2 linked regions of the Caenorhabditis elegans genome follow. The protein of the gene in region 1 purifies or fractionates together with the protein of each later gene. This does not show direct contact. Each region holds a gene or a part of one and is shown in the gene's direction. Other genes may lie near its edges.

Region 1 (7,393 bases):
TATTTTCTTAGAGAATGCAAGATTTCCTGGAGAAAATTGATGCACTTGACCTAGACAATAAAGAAGAAACAAATGATTTTAAAGGCTCCTGTGACTCTCTTCACAACTGTTTTGATGCTCTTGATTGTCAAACTTCATCAACTGATCACGAAACCTCTGATATTTCTGGAATGATCAAAACCTATTGTGATACCATCATTTACATCTCCACAAAGTTTGTTGAATGTAGTGATAAATTAGAAGAAAAAAGCTCGCAATGCTTTGAAAACTGGGATCCATTTCCAAATGATATCGAAAAAGAAACTGATCAAAAGAAAAAGGAAGAAATGAGAAAATCTGCATGCCAAAACTTTTTTGGAAAAGATAATTGTTTGAAAGAAGAAATCGTGAGCTCATGCAGTGAAGGAGAATGGATAGGATTTAGAGATGTAAGATAACTTTTTAATTCAAAAATTATACAATTTTTCAGCATTTCGTTTCATTAAGCAACATTACAAAGCAATGCGATTTTCAAAATCTCTAACATGTATCCATGTATCCAGTTTTTCATAATTTTCAGTCATATGTGAACTTATTGAGTGCCTTCTGTTTATACAATTTGGATTGTTTAAATAATTATGAAATTTCATTTTTTCGATAAACATTGCAATTTTATTATATTTTTATAACAATAAAAATATGTGAACTTTTTGAACTATTTTGATTGTTTTAAATGGATTTTTTCAAGAGTCTCAATTATTTTCAGAAATTTTTAATAAATTATATTTAACAAAATAGATCAGTATAGACACTCTTGATGAATATCAGATGTTTCAGCAGTTGACAACATTGAAAGACATAACACTAGATCAAAAGTATTCAATTTTAATAGTTTTGGATACGCCACATTAATAAAATAATTTGCTGCAATAAAGTTTTAAAAAAACTTGATAAAATTTGGTGCTTATACGATTAATCACATACGTCACTGTTTACACCTTTCTTAATCCAAGATTTATTTATGTACCTACGTCTATTTTCGAATAGCTGAAAACAACTTTTCTATTTCAGTATACATATTTATATTTCAGATTGTTAATAACACTGCCATCAAACTCTTATAACAGGTAAATTTTAAGGTACTTAATACATACCGTATTTTAGAATATTGTTCAGATATCCCACAGCAAAAAAAAACAATCTGATTTGGATACCTCTCAAGAAATAACAAAAGCTTCTCCAAGCTGGCATATCTAATTTCAAATCTTTTTCCCTTTTTTCCGGACCCACACCCAATTTTCTCCTTCTTCTGTCCTCATCTCCGCTTTTCGACACTTCTCACAGATACACACACAAATACACGCACGGAGCCCTTCTTCTTCGTCCATCTAGGGACACCCGTCCCTTGCTCTCCGTTTCCATCTCCTTGCGTCCTATTTCTCATGTCTGACCGGCTGTCCATTACAAGCGAGTCTGTCTCCAACAAAGACAACACTATGTCTCGTTCTCTTTTCTCCGTTTTGGTTTCATCTCACTTTCTGTGTCTCTCTCACTTCTCTTCCTTTCTCAACAAAACGGGCGCATACCCTTTTACGGGGGGTGGGACCTTCTTCTCTTCGTCTCTTCTATGAATGTCCCTCGATTTTCGCAGATCAGCAAAATGATTCGGACAGGAAACTTAATTTCCCGGAGTTCTAGATTTTGTTCATTTATTTAAAAAAAACGTTTTTGTCTCGGAGAAATATCGTTTTGTGATCGGACAGAACAAGGGATAGGCACGTGGTTTGTGAGCGAACGGAAAACAGTAAAGTCTGTCAATATTGCTTTTGCTCGGCTTTATACTTTTTTATTCCTTGGTGAACAAAAATCTTTCACAATTTTCCCTTTTTCCTCTTTTCTTGTAATTTGGGTAATTTTCATTCAAACGCCTATAATATTTACGATAATTGAAAATTCAAAAAAAATTTCTTCAATTGGAGTTGGATTATCGTACCTAAATTATTCTTGAATAAGCGATCAAAGTAATTTCGCTTTCCTGCTAACTTCATCCGATTTTCTTCATTTTTTAAAGCTGCGATATGATTCGAACCTTTTTTTTGTCAAACTTTCAAATATTTTGTGACAAAAAGTAAGGATAAATGTTAAATTATTGCAATTTTCTTTCAAATCTTAAAAAAATCAAGAAAAATCCCACTGGCGCTACGTTCAAAATCACATCTGCGCATATACTAAGCCTGTGATCTTAAAATTTAGTTATTGTTTCATGGTTTTCTTTTCCTTCAATTTTCCTCATATTTCCTGAATGCACATAATTGCAGAGAAATTGACGCCTCAGAGTTTCTCTGTTATTTTTTTTTCTAAATGCCACAGTTAAATTTTTCAGATCACTAATGATGAGAATCAATCTATCCACAATATTTAACCAATTTTATTAACTTTCCAAAGAATATCCAAATGTCGTTCTTCTTGCGAGAAATTGATGGTGAACGAGTGTGTTCCACGAGCACCGAAACGTCGATTCCTGAAGATAGGAAAAGTGCACGAAGACTGAGAAAATTGCTATACAAATGTGCCGAGAACACATGCAAACCGGATATTCTCAGGGTTCCAGCACATTGCGGGAAACTCGATAAAGAAGAAGGTTAGTATATTTTTTTGTAGTTTGGAGAAGTATAAAATAATAAAAATAAAAATAATTTTTAATTTCAGAGAAATCCAAAACACCTCTGGACCAGCAACAACAAATTAATTTTCATGATATTCTGAACTCAAAATTTGTTGTGGGACCACCTTCGCCTTTTGCTTTAGTAGCAATTGCCAAATCAATTCTTGCACGGTTTGGGAATCCAGAAGAAGTTTCTGAAAAAGAAGATGGAAGCGAAGAGGAAGCCGGAACCAGTGGAGCTGATGAAGAGGGAAAGCAATACAAAAATGTGAGTTTTTATAATGTTAAAAAGTATTAAATGAAAAATACATTGAAATTTCTAATTAAGTTTCAAAGTCAACAGCCAAATTTTTTCTAAATTTTTTTTCGAAACGTAGTTAAGAAGCTTGCAAAACTGGGACATAGGTCGGCAAGGAAACCAGAAAAAACAATTATGAAACCGTGTTTTACACATTGACGATATCCCCCCAGCTAGATTCAAAATTGTTTCCTTTTTAAACGCTAAAAATAGAATATGGTTTGAAAAATAATTATTTGAAATTGAACCGGTGAGTAATAAAACAATTTTGGAATACTAAATTACCATAAATTTCAAAATGGAACTGAACATATAACTCTACAACTTTTTGGAACCCGTGTGTGAAATACTTTTTCTTATTAAAAACTGTTTTAAAAGGTGAAAAATGGTTCAGCTCTCATGAATTTTCAGACTGATCAGCTGGTTGGAGCTAGTTTAACATGTATCTTCGAAGTTCTCGAGCAATTAAGTCGACGTGACGCCGAACTTTGTGTTCAAGCTCTCGAATCATTGTTATCATTGATCCAATCGATGCCAATCGATTGTCTTCAGTCCGAAAACCGTTTATCAATGTCTGCAATGATGCACGTTCTGAAAACGCTTCGAGAAGATGCCTGTCCCTCAGTGAGCTCAAAAGCTACCTCATGCCTTGTGGCTTTATCAGTTGCATGTGGAGAGCCGGAGCATTTAGGAAGCACAATTCGATCATTAATTTGTATGAAGAAAAATATTCGAATGAGCGCCGATTCGACGTATGATATGATCCAAATGCCAGAAAATTTGAGAAAATTACTACTGAAAGTGAGGAGGAAAGCTTTAGGCGGAGACAACACTGCCAATTCCCCGTGAGTATTTTATTCAAGTTGAAAGTATTCAAATATGTAGTATTGTGTTCACAAATTTCTTCTTTTAGTAGAATTTCTTAGAAGCTTGCAAAATCCCATGATAGTTTTATTAGTATTTTATTAAATGCAAAATTTCAGACCAAACTGGGCAATGGTAGATGTTCACGAGCACTCGGTAGCAAGCAGTTTCAGTCTACCTAGTCTTCCTGATAGCTCTCCGTCTTCCGACACTCCCGACGATGACAATCGAATACATAGCACAATGGCATGTGATGGAACATTTCTCTACATTCTTAATTATGTTGGACTCTACAAGTTGGGGACCGGCCTGAATGAAACAATTTCTGGAAAGTTGTATGCAGCGAATCAGAGTTTACAATCGTCGAAAAATGTGCAAATGTATTTATGCAATGGATCATTGTATTTACGAAGAAATTACTCATCATGCATATCAGTGATTGACACGGATTCATTGTTGGATATTGGAGAAGTGATTCTACCACCAAGTTGTGTACAACATGCACTGTTCACGGATGGAACATACTTTTACAGTGCAACTCTGATTGCCAATTCTACACTATCGGTAGGATTTATTCTCTCAAATTAAAAATTAAGATATTTAATTGAAACTATTTTTAAACACTTTTAATCGTGAAAATTCTACTTATTGTTAGAAATAAAAACACATAACATGACAGCTCAAAAAAGTTTATAAATAACATATTTCAGACAATTCAACTAAATGATTCATTTTCCCCTTCCAATGAGCCATCATCACGAAGAAGTCATCGACTCACTGATGTGAAGTTCACGATTCAAGGAGATCTTCAAGTTCCTCACCAACTCCCCGAATTTCTACCTGCAAACCTTCATCGTAAGAATAGTAGTTTTGTTTACATGGAAATTTGAACATATCAATTTTCAGCTCAAACTGTTGATCTTCACTTCACTCGAGAAATGGCATTCATTCAAGCTCGCTCTGGAAAAGTGTACTACGCTGGAAACGGGACAAGGTTCGGATTATTTGAAACTGGGAACAACTGGATGGAACTGTGTCTTCCCGAGCCAATAGTTCAAATTTCTGTTGGAATTGATACAATAATGTTTCGTTCTGGTGCAGGGCATGGTTGGATTGCAAGTGTAGACGATAAGAAAAGAAATGGAAGACTACGTCGACTTGTTCCATCTAATCGCCGGAAAATTGTTCATGTTTGCGCCTCTGGTCATGTCTATGGATATGTATCTGAAAATGGAAAGATTTTCATGGGAGGACTTCATACAATGAGAGTGAATGTTTCAAGTCAAATGTTAAATGGACTGGATAATGTGATGATTTCTTCATTAGCGCTTGGAAAATCTCACGGTGTTGCTGTGACTCGAAATGGCCATCTTTTTACATGGGGATTGAACAATATGAATCAATGTGGAAGAGTTGAATCAACTTCAACCACGTCTTCTCCAAGACATTCCGGTCGTCAAGAGTATCAGATTTGTCCTATCGGAGAACACACGTGGCTAACTGACACACCCTCGGTATGTGCTCAATGCGGGCTTTGCTCCGCACGAGGAGTAGCATGTGGAAGAGTTCCTCGACCAAAGGGAACCATGTGTCATTGCGGTGTTGGAGAGTCAACATGCCTTCGATGTGGACTTTGCAGACCATGTGGAGAGGTTACAGAACCAGCACAGCCTGGTAGAGCTCAGCATGTGCAATTCAGTTCAACAGCTGCTCCTCAAAGAAGTACTCTACATCCGTCACGTGTAATTTTAAGTCAAGGACCTCATGATGTAAAAGTTTCAAGCGTAAGCTGTGGAAATTTTCATACAGTACTTCTTGCATCTGATCGAAGAGTTTTCACTTTTGGATCCAACTGCCATGGCCAATTAGGAGTTGGAGATACACTTAGCAAAAACACTCCGCAGCAAGTCATTCTTCCATCTGATACAGTTATAGTCCAAGTTGCCGCTGGTTCAAATCACACAATTTTGAGGGCAAATGATGGAAGCGTTTTCACATTTGGTGCATTTGGAAAAGGTCAGCTAGCACGACCAGCTGGCGAGAAAGCTGGATGGAATGCGATCCCTGAAAAAGTTTCTGGTTTTGGTCCTGGATTCAATGCATTCGCTGGATGGATCGGAGCCGATGGTGATTCTTCAATCATCCATAGTCATACAGCTTTATTATCTTCTGATAATATTCTGAAAGCTCAAATTGTTGCAAACAAAACGAATATTTTCATTTTCCCAAGAGAAGTTGGTAAAGACTACATTGTAATAAGACGAAAGTTGAATGTTTTTGAACATCATGCGAGCGATTACAAATGTTGGTATACATCATGGGCCACTGATCCGAAGTATGACATGCTGTGGTATTACAATTCAGCAGAAATGGAAATCAAAGGATATGACATTTTCAAAAAATCTGAAAAATCTGTGGGCGATGCATTTGATTCCCTAACTTTCCTAGCTGGTGCCGAATTTGCTGTCCAAGTGTACGACAGTCCTGCTTATGCAACTTCGATGAGTCTTGGAATGCAACTTTTATCAGCAACATTCTCAGCAAATGTTATCAATTTATCTGAATTCTGGAAGGAAAAACATGGGGAACGAGAACAGGATCACGAGAAAACAATTATGGATGGTTATTCAGTTGCAAATCGATTTGATGGTACGGGAGGTGGTTGGGGATACTCGGCAAATTCTGTTGAAGCTATCCAATTTAAAGTCTCCAAGGAAATTCGATTAGTAGGAGTTGGGCTGTATGGAGGACGAGGAGAATACATATCGAAGCTCAAGTTATATCGACAAATTGGAACAGAAGCTGATGAGTTATATGTGGAGCAGATCACTGAGACTGATGAAACAGTTTATGATTGTGGAGCACATGAGACTGCAACTCTTTTATTCTCACAACCAATAGTTATTCAACCAAATCATTGGCATGTAGTCAGTGCAAAGATAAGTGGTCCTTCTTCTGATTGTGGAGCAAATGGAAAACGTCATGTCGAGTGCGATGGAGTAACATTTCAGTTTCGAAAATCTGCTGTGTCAAACAATGGAACTGACGTAGATGTTGGACAGATTCCGGAGCTGTATTATCAAATTGTCGGTGGATCTGAAAGTCGTGACGAATCGGATTCGAATAAACAGCTGTCAATCAGTAGAGACATGTCAAATCTCTTTTCACCTGCTGCACTGAAAAATGTCACAGCGGAAGGAATTGGTAATTTGCTGATACTTTTGGAGTGGGCTTTACAACGCGTTCAAATTGATGAAGATACAAACAATCAAGTTGAAGGAAGTGCTGAAAATCAATGGAGTCAGGAAAGAGCAGGATTTGTTGCTATTTTAAGCATGAAGCTTATATCAAGATTCGTAAGAACAGTGTACAAAGAGAAGGGATGTCATGATGAACCAGGAATTGATTTTGCTAATAAGTTGGTAAATCTGCACTCAATGCTCTTAGAATTCTTCTTTTCAACCGATATGACTGGATATGAAAATCGTCCATTAATTAAAAAAGAAGAAAAGGTTGTTGAAGAAGGGTATACTCTGATGAAGTGTGTGTCGGAAGCGGTTAAGCTATTCATTTCTCTTTCTCACTGC
Region 2 (8,684 bases), on another chromosome or scaffold:
CTGCAAAAAATTTAAAATTTGATGAATAAAACCGATTTATTGGATATGCTGTACTATTACTTTGCTATACGGAAAAAACTAAAGTTTTTAAATAAATTGAATATGTTAGTCAACAATTGTTAATTTGCTGAATAATTGTTAAATTAATTTTCTAAATATCCAAATTTTGGCAAACAAAATTGGCAACTGTGAAAAGGAAATTTCAACAATGTTTCCGACAAATTATTAAAGAACTTTGCAGTTTCAGATAACTTTACAGCTGTACAGAAAACCTTCAAAAATTTTATCTTGAATTATCGAGATAAATTTGTGCGAGTTTCTTGAATCAACTTTTCTATTGAAATAAATACATTTTCGAACGTGCCTGTTCACAGCATTCTGTGTGATCCATATTCATAGATGCACAAAAATGAATAGTTCTAAGTGATGAACTTGGACATCTTCTGGGCTCCGCGAGCAGTCGAAAGATGGAAGATTCATTATAAGTCTCAAATGAGCAGAATCCCATGCATCTCTCCGGAAGTAAATTATCCACACAACATTGTTCCATTTTTAACGAGTACTCGGATTCCTGAATTTTGAAGTGGGATTATTTAATTTTCATGAGATTTTTTTTTGAATATTTTTGAAGAAAAAATCTTGAAGAAGTTGGATTTTTTGAAATTATTCAAAAGCAGATTATTGCCAAAGTTAAACAATAGAGAAACAACAAAACTCCGTAAATTCCGAAAAATATTTTAAATACATATTTCAAAACAGAATTTTCTCATAGTTTCAATAAAACTAGAAAAGAACCTACCTCTTCATTCACATATTTAGTTTTACTTGCCAATGCTCTTCCACCAACACATCTATTCAATCGGCAGATATATCCATTTTGGCAGCTGTTTCTTGTTAGGCATTCTCTATGAATTACTGGTGGTGGAAGATTCAAACTATCAAGACTTGGAGGACACTGAACAAATAAGACTTTTTTAATTTAGTGAACTTTTATAGGAGTCGCGTTGATAAATGAGAAAAAATTCAAAAATATTTTAAAAAATTCAAAACAATTCTATCCCGCTTCATACAGAATATCTTTAAAAAAGAAAACTTACAGCATAGCTTAACGTGATCAAAAGAATAAAACGAGAATAAATCGAAAGAACTAAAGTATTACCAGACACTTTCATTTTAGAATCCAAAACTGTGAAGAATATAATTTATACGAAAGACATGAGAAATCCTGAACAAATAACTGCTAAAGAATAATAAAAAGAAGCGGGACACAAACAAAGAATTATGAAAATAAGAATGGTTATTGTTATATGAATCACTAAATATTTGGGAAAAATCGAAAGTTTTGGAAATCGAGAGTTACGAAATTGCTCGTCATAACCGGAAATGAGACGTCAATTATGTTCATGTGAGGACTGATAACATCAACTCTCACAATGAGACATCCTTTCTGTTGCATTTCTGGAACTTTGTTAAAGAATGATGTTGTAAATGTTTTCTAAAATTGTCATTTTTTACAGTTATTTCAAAACATGATCCACGCTTTGATGGTTATTTATATTGCTTGTGTCTCTATTTGCAAATTGCTAAAATATTTTTTTTGAAAATTTAGATATGTGATTTTATAATTGAAGTTTAAAGGAGGAATAACGCTAGTGCAAAATGCCAAAATACTACAAAATAAAAACAAAACAACTGTATCTAGTTTGATGGAAATTGCTAATTTTGGCACATTTTCAATTGTGATAGATGTTCTCGTTTGAATAATGTTATATATTCGAGGCCGAACAAGGAGGCGAAGACGAGTAGTTTATTATTACATAACTAAGGAATGAATAGAAAGTTAGTATACATAGATAATGAGTTCACGTTACACGATCTTCATATCCACGTTGAGGGTTAGGTACACGTAGATACCCAACAAATTACATTTTTCAAAATTTCGTCTAGTCTCCAATTTTCAAAAAAAAAGGTATCATTTCTGTGTAAACATTTATTTCATGTCTTAAATTCAACAAAAATAATTTTCACTTGAAAATTTGAGCCAAAATGGAGAAACTTCAAGTGCGGCACCAAAAAAATGGGCGAGGGTAAATATTAATGATAACTGTGAATTGACCAAAATTGGAGATTTTTCTAACCTCTGATAATATTTTGCTCTGTCATCTCATTTGGGAGGTTTATCATGAAGTCCCAATTGACCGTATTCCACCTTTAAACTAAGCTTGCTCAGTTTTCAAATTTTCTTTCATCCAGAAACCTGATGTGCGTCATTAGTAGCATGTTTGGCAACCGTAATTTCCAAACCACTATTCTTGATAATAATTTGAATGTAAGAAACCATCATCACACAGATTGCAGTGACATTTATTACACAATCTGTGCGATAGTTTGAAAATTGGTCTTTATAGGTTTTGTGTCTCAGATACATCGTTCCTATCTCAATGTTTCATATATCGCTTTGTTCCTTAAGTACATTTATTTCTAAATTGTTGAACATTTTACATGATAAATTCCATAAAGCAACATAAAACAATCACGTCATTTCTAGATTTTTATTGACAAGTACACTGGAACTAGCATATATTATTGAAAATACTTGTTGTTGCTATTTTAAAATTTTGAATTTCAACAATTTTAACAACAACGATACCTTTGTAGTCTTCTGATCACTCTCCCCCAATGATAACCTGGTCAACGTGATAAACTGCCTTGATTTTTCATACGTCGATTAGAGCGCAACTGCATCGGGTTGTTCCCGCACATGAGGGGGTTTCCCCGCACAGCGCCATGTGATTTTCCGTGGTCACAGAAGAAACGGAATGTCTGTGCCTCTCACCTTCACACACTCTCACTACCTATTGATTTTCGCCTGGCAGCCTAGTGTCCGTTTGTCGGTCTTTTCTCTCGTCACTTTTTGTGTCTCGGTATCAATGTTTGTTTCGATGCGACGCGGGGACGTCCAACGACGCAACGAAGAAGAACCGAAACTTGGTGTCACATTTTTATTTCCCGGCCGACCGCCGTTTTTTTCCTGCTAGCACGTGGTCTTGAGACGAAAACTTTTATCGGTTAGAATACAATAAAATCACTGTGCTTGTCTTGCCGTTTTATTTTTTCAACTTTTCTTTATTTGCTGTGAGGGTTAATAGTCGCGGCGGCGGCGGCGGCGGGCATTTTGGATACAACATTTTTGAAAATTGGGAATCATTTTTGAAATTATCGAAATTTAAATTTGGGAACATCATGTAGTTGTTTCGCAATTTTTCTTCGGAAATAAACTTCCCAAAAGAAAATATGAGCAAGTGATTTAGAAAACCAGGCCTGATACTTTAAATAAACTCCTTGTAGATCTTTCGTCGTGAGACCCACTCGCTAACCACGTTGCGCCTTTAGTACAGTACTACTATTCTTTTTCAATTTTTATTCAAAATTATGCAAATTTCATCATCGATTTTGAACTTTGCTCCGTTAAATTTGTGATAATACAATTTTTCGAACAATTCAAAAAATTTATCAGTAACTTCTTTTTTGTTGGAAAATAGACTATCGAAAAATTCCATAATTTTCTTCTGTCTCTCGGAAACGCTTTCCATTTTATCTTTTGATCACGTGACACACGTTCTATCAGTCTTTCCTTATTGAAGAACAGGTAGCATTGAAATTGTGATAACCTTACGCCCCCTTCGATCATTTTTCGTTCAAATATTTTCGCATTTTTTTCGTCTTTTCATCTCTTTCCCATTTTTCTATCGTTCAAACATCATAATTTTCCCGCTGAAAGTACTGTTTAGTGCACTTAGACTGAAATAAAATAAAAATCAATTTTCAGAAGTATGGGACAAACACTCAGTGAGCCAGTTACTAAAAAAGAGTCGGCGTCATGCGCCAATGAGAATTATTTGGTCGGTAGCAGTTGTATGCAGGGATGGAGAGTTGGTAAGAAAGTTATCAGAGCAAAAATGTGATAAAATAAATTAGGATATTTAGGAATTTAGGATATTGTTAAGCGTTTACTTCCATTTTAAACGTTTGTAATCAAGAAATAACATAGCGAAATTAATTTGTTTTAATGTTTAGTCTAAATTAAAAAAAAAAATCAGCGAATATTAGTCCCTTTCTCTTCAGACAGAACTCCTTAGCTCATTTTCATCATTTTCATCATTTTTAGGTACTTAGCGACTTGAAAATCCATTAGCTTCACTATCTTCAAAAATGATAATTAGTTCAATAAATTGTTCTAAATGTTCTTTTTTTTCAGACATGGAAGATGCCCATACACATCTCCTTTCTCTTCCTGATGATCCAAAATGTGCATTCTTTGCTGTCTACGATGGACACGGTGGATCGAAAGTTTCACAATATTCCGGAATTAATCTTCACAAAAAAGTCGTCGCACAGAAGGAATTTTCCGAGGGAAATATGAAAGAAGCAATCGAAAAAGGATTCCTAGAATTGGATCAACAGATGAGAGTTGATGAAGAGACAAAGGATGATGTTAGTGGAACGACAGCAGTTGTTGTATTGATAAAGGAGGGAGATGTTTATTGTGGTAAGAGACACGGATTTGCACTTTGACCTTGAAACGTCAATGGAAGGAAATTGAGGAAATGTTAAAGACACTGAGTATTTTTCAAAAAAATCACAATACTAAGACTAACAGTTTTCAGTAAAAATCGATAAAAAATTAACTTCCAAGCTTCGAATTTTGCAGTATTAGAATTCATATTGTTCGAAATTTTATTAGATTTTGAACTTTCACGGTATTACAAAAGTTATCTTTAAAAAAGGAGAAAAATTATTGGTACAGAAAATAAAAACACATTTCCATATTTTTTCAAAAATTTTAATTTTTGATTACGCACACATTTGTGATAACTGTGTATCATAAAGTTGTAAAAATCGTACGCTGATTTTTTAATACTTCTGAGTGGGTCCCACCACGATCTCAGCCACAGTAATCCCTACAAGCTTCAAACTTCACAGATTTGTTTATGTGACATAGAAAAAAACGTTGAAATTAAATATTTATTTAAACTGTATAGGGAAGACCAGGATTTAATATTTTTAAATGTCAATTTTTAATTTTTCTCCATTTTTCAGGAAACGCCGGTGACTCTCGTGCAGTATCCTCAGTTGTTGGAGAAGCTCGTCCACTTTCATTCGATCACAAGCCATCTCATGAAACCGAAGCTCGACGTATCATTGCCGCCGGTGGATGGGTTGAGTTCAATCGTGTCAATGGTAATTTGGCACTTTCCCGTGCTCTCGGAGATTTTGCATTCAAAAATTGTGACACAAAGCCTGCTGAGGAGCAAATTGTCACTGGTGAGAATAATTTGAAATTAAAAATTAAAAAAAGTTCTTTAATTTCAGCATTCCCGGATGTGATCACTGACAAGCTGACACCGGATCACGAGTTTATTGTTCTTGCATGTGATGGTATTTGGGATGTAATGACAAATCAGGAAGTCGTAGATTTTGTTCGTGAGAAGCTTGCTGAGAAGAGGGATCCACAATCGGTAAGTTGATTAAAATAAAGTAAATATCTCGTATTCTCTCTCATTTTCAGATTTGCGAAGAGCTTCTCACTCGGTGCTTGGCTCCAGATTGTCAGATGGGTGGTCTCGGATGCGATAATATGACTGTAAGTTTGATTTTTTCAAAAATAAATTTTTAAACACTTTATCAGCTTTATTTTATGTTTTGAAATATAAATATACAGTAAATTCAAACTTCGAAATTTTCATAAGTTTTCGTTAAAACTTTTAATGAGAAACTAAACTGGAACAAAAAAATTTGAAACACTTAAATTTTAACAAATTGTAAGATAATCAATAAAAATCTTTGAAGATTCCAAATCAGCCAAATTTAAAAAAAAACTACAGTAATTTGCAAGATCTTTAGACTATGGTAGTTGAAATCGTGGTGAGACCTACTAAGAAAAACGGCATGTGACTTTAAATTAAAATGTTGAATTTTAACGAAATATACACATTTAAAAAATTTAATATTTATTTTTCAGGTTGTTCTCGTGGGACTTCTTCATGGACAATCCCCAGATACACTTTTCACGAAATGTGCCCGCCCAGCGGTATTTACGGGTGTTGTGAGTTTTTTTTTGAAAATTATTTCTGCTTCTTCCTCTTTTTTTCATTTTTTCAGTAGTTAGTATCACATAAATTTATAGAATTAAACTAGTTTCTCAAAAAGAACACCTTTTTAGAATAGTTGTGCTTCTTCTTCTAAATACTAACCAAATGAATGAATATCTGTGTAAATCAGAAATTCGACGAACAAAACGATGTGTTTCTTTTTGAAGAATAACGAGGATGGAGATCAAAATCAAATTCAGCAAGATATTTCGCGTGTGATAAACAACTTTGATGGAGGTTTTAGTTGAAAAAGCTTCGCGAATTCTCAAAAATTAAATATTCAAATTTCAGAACAACGGGTAAACGCTGCGAATCAAGAAGAAGAGGAGGATGACAATGAACCAGCGCCAGCCAACTTCCAAGTTTAGAAAATTCGCAAAATTTCGGAGTAATATTTGGTGTGTAAATATCGAATATTAAATAACACGATTTCCCCCTGTGATAGTGCTGAATTTACTTTTTTATCTTGCATTGCTTTTGGTTTTTTATATTGCTCAATTATCATGTTTCACAAAAAATTTTCTTCACAAAACAAAAACCACCCAAAATTTAATATTCCTTATAGAGCACGTTAACAATATAATTTTTCTTGCTTTTTATAGCATTTTACTTTCTTTGTTCTTCCCCCATTCTTCATTCACAGATTTTCCGGTTGAAATACCTTTCGAATAATTTCAAAAAAATTTAAATGCCAAAATCTCTCTAGAATTGTAATGAATTGATTGCAGTGAGTTATCTGGAAAAAATTCAGGAATTTCACTACATGAAAAGTTGTCCTCTATTGTTCATCCCGCCAACTTTTGCATATCCCTTTTTCAAATTTTATTTTTTGTCTTATTCCTACTCTCCCATTTTTAATATGATTTTTTATCAGCCGTCCACTTTCCATGACGCGTCTTTGTTTCCCAAGCATTGAAAGTGTGAGATGACTCGTTTTATACTGAAATACTCGAAATATTAGTGCTTCAATGTGTATTAGACAATTGTATTTTCTTCTTTTTGTCTCTTTTCACATTTTTTTGTTCTTCCCATTGATTTTATGATTATGATTAAAAAAATTTATGATTGAATGTTATTCAATTTTTCCTACAAAATAAAAAAGGCAATAACTTTCGACGGTGCAATTGGAAGAAACATGGAAGATCTGAAAATAGGTTATTTTGTGTGATTGCAAAACATTGTAAGACAATGTATGGAAATTTTCGTAAAAATGAAGATCTGGGAGCTACAGTATTATTTTAAAGGCGCACACCTTTCTGTAGGCGCTTCGAAAATTGTTAAGTTACATTCACCGTACCACTGAACTTACCAAACACCGTGTGACTTCATTTAGTTTTTCAAGACAGTTATCAGAAGCCTCATTCCTCCTTGAAATTCCAAGAAAGGCGACGTAATGATCTCCAAAAATGGAAGAGGCATAATTGTCTCTTTAACATTACATGTTTCAGCTTATAGTTAGTGCAAGCTACTGAAAATATTCAAGAAACCCGACCAAGTCAATTTCATTAAATCATACAAAAGTGCCATTCACAGTTCAATCTAAGCTTGAATAGTTGATCCACCACACGGAGTTGCTTCAAGGCACACATTGACATCACTTTTGTTCTTTTTATTAGCCTGAATACGGCAAGCCTTTGAGCTCTTTGCAGAATGATTCGACGAACGGCTTGATCTACGAGAAGATCTCATTGACTGCTTCTCCGGTTGCTTTTCAGTTCCACAGATGTAGTTGGAAAACCAGCATCCTTTGTTCAATTGACGACGTTTGTACTCCTCAACAAATCCCATCATTGAACCAATTGGAACAGCAGTGGAGACATCTGAAATCGAAAGATTTTAATTAGTTTGAACCAAAGCATCAATCTGTACCTCTTTCGATGTTGACTGCAGTTGTAGTGTCCAATTCTTCCACGTCAACCGGATAATCAGTCGACTCGATACACGTGGCATATCCTGGCAAGTTGATGACTGTCTGGGGAGCCGAGAACTGATCCGTGAACTTGACAGACAATGAGAATGCCTCTTGCTCCTTAGTTCCTGCAGTTTTCTTCTGATCAATGAACTGCTTGAGGCTCTTCGCATAGATCGGCAACACGTATCCTTTGATCAAAAGATTCATCTTGTCCCATTGGGAGAGCTTTGATGAGTTCACACGGAACTGGATGGCACGATGAGCCAATGGTGGAAAACGGAAAACTTCCGTTGGGAAGGTGACGGCTTCATTCGTAGCATGCAACTTCAGCAGGAAGTCCTTGCCAGTGGTGTTGCGGAACACAAAGTTCCGTTGAACGATCTCGCGGCCAGTGGAGATGTGCAATTCCGTTGGGTTTGACTTCTTTTGACTGAAATTTTGAAATTTTAGAATTTATAGTTCATTTGCAATGAGCACAGAATGCATCAGTGGGCACAATAAACCCGAACCATCGAAGACAGGGCACAATGCCTAAATTACGAAAACGATAATTCGTAAGGGGCACATTCTGCCTGATTTCGTTGGCGTGCCTCCATAATGTCAATTCTATGAGGTTCTTG

The links.
Region 2: the proteins of rpm-1 (region 1) and ppm-2 purify together in Caenorhabditis elegans (affinity purification with western blotting; one study listed by BioGRID). This does not show direct contact.

Annotation. Positions count from the first base shown.
Region 1 is NC_003283.11:8,814,996-8,822,388, reverse strand, and holds the start of rpm-1 (E3 ubiquitin-protein ligase rpm-1), read left to right. Parts: upstream 1-2,433; coding exon 2,434-2,620; intron 2,621-2,688; coding exon 2,689-2,912; intron 2,913-3,353; coding exon 3,354-3,787; intron 3,788-3,925; coding exon 3,926-4,370; intron 4,371-4,516; coding exon 4,517-4,661; intron 4,662-4,712; coding exon 4,713-7,393. Other genes in the region: C01B7.7 (T20D4.11-like domain-containing protein), read left to right, coding at 12-428, 470-523.
Region 2 is NC_003281.10:4,646,665-4,655,348, forward strand, and holds ppm-2 (putative protein phosphatase 2C T23F11.1), read left to right. Parts: upstream 1-3,829; 5' UTR 3,830-3,833; coding exon 3,834-3,936; intron 3,937-4,258; coding exon 4,259-4,549; intron 4,550-5,100; coding exon 5,101-5,325; intron 5,326-5,373; coding exon 5,374-5,519; intron 5,520-5,569; coding exon 5,570-5,644; intron 5,645-6,022; coding exon 6,023-6,106; intron 6,107-6,319; coding exon 6,320-6,389; intron 6,390-6,443; coding exon 6,444-6,520; 3' UTR 6,521-7,222; downstream 7,223-8,684. Other genes in the region: dbd-10 (DB domain-containing protein), read right to left, coding at 365-571, 800-955, 1,098-1,172; T23F11.2 (Major sperm protein), read right to left, coding at 7,692-7,972, 8,022-8,494.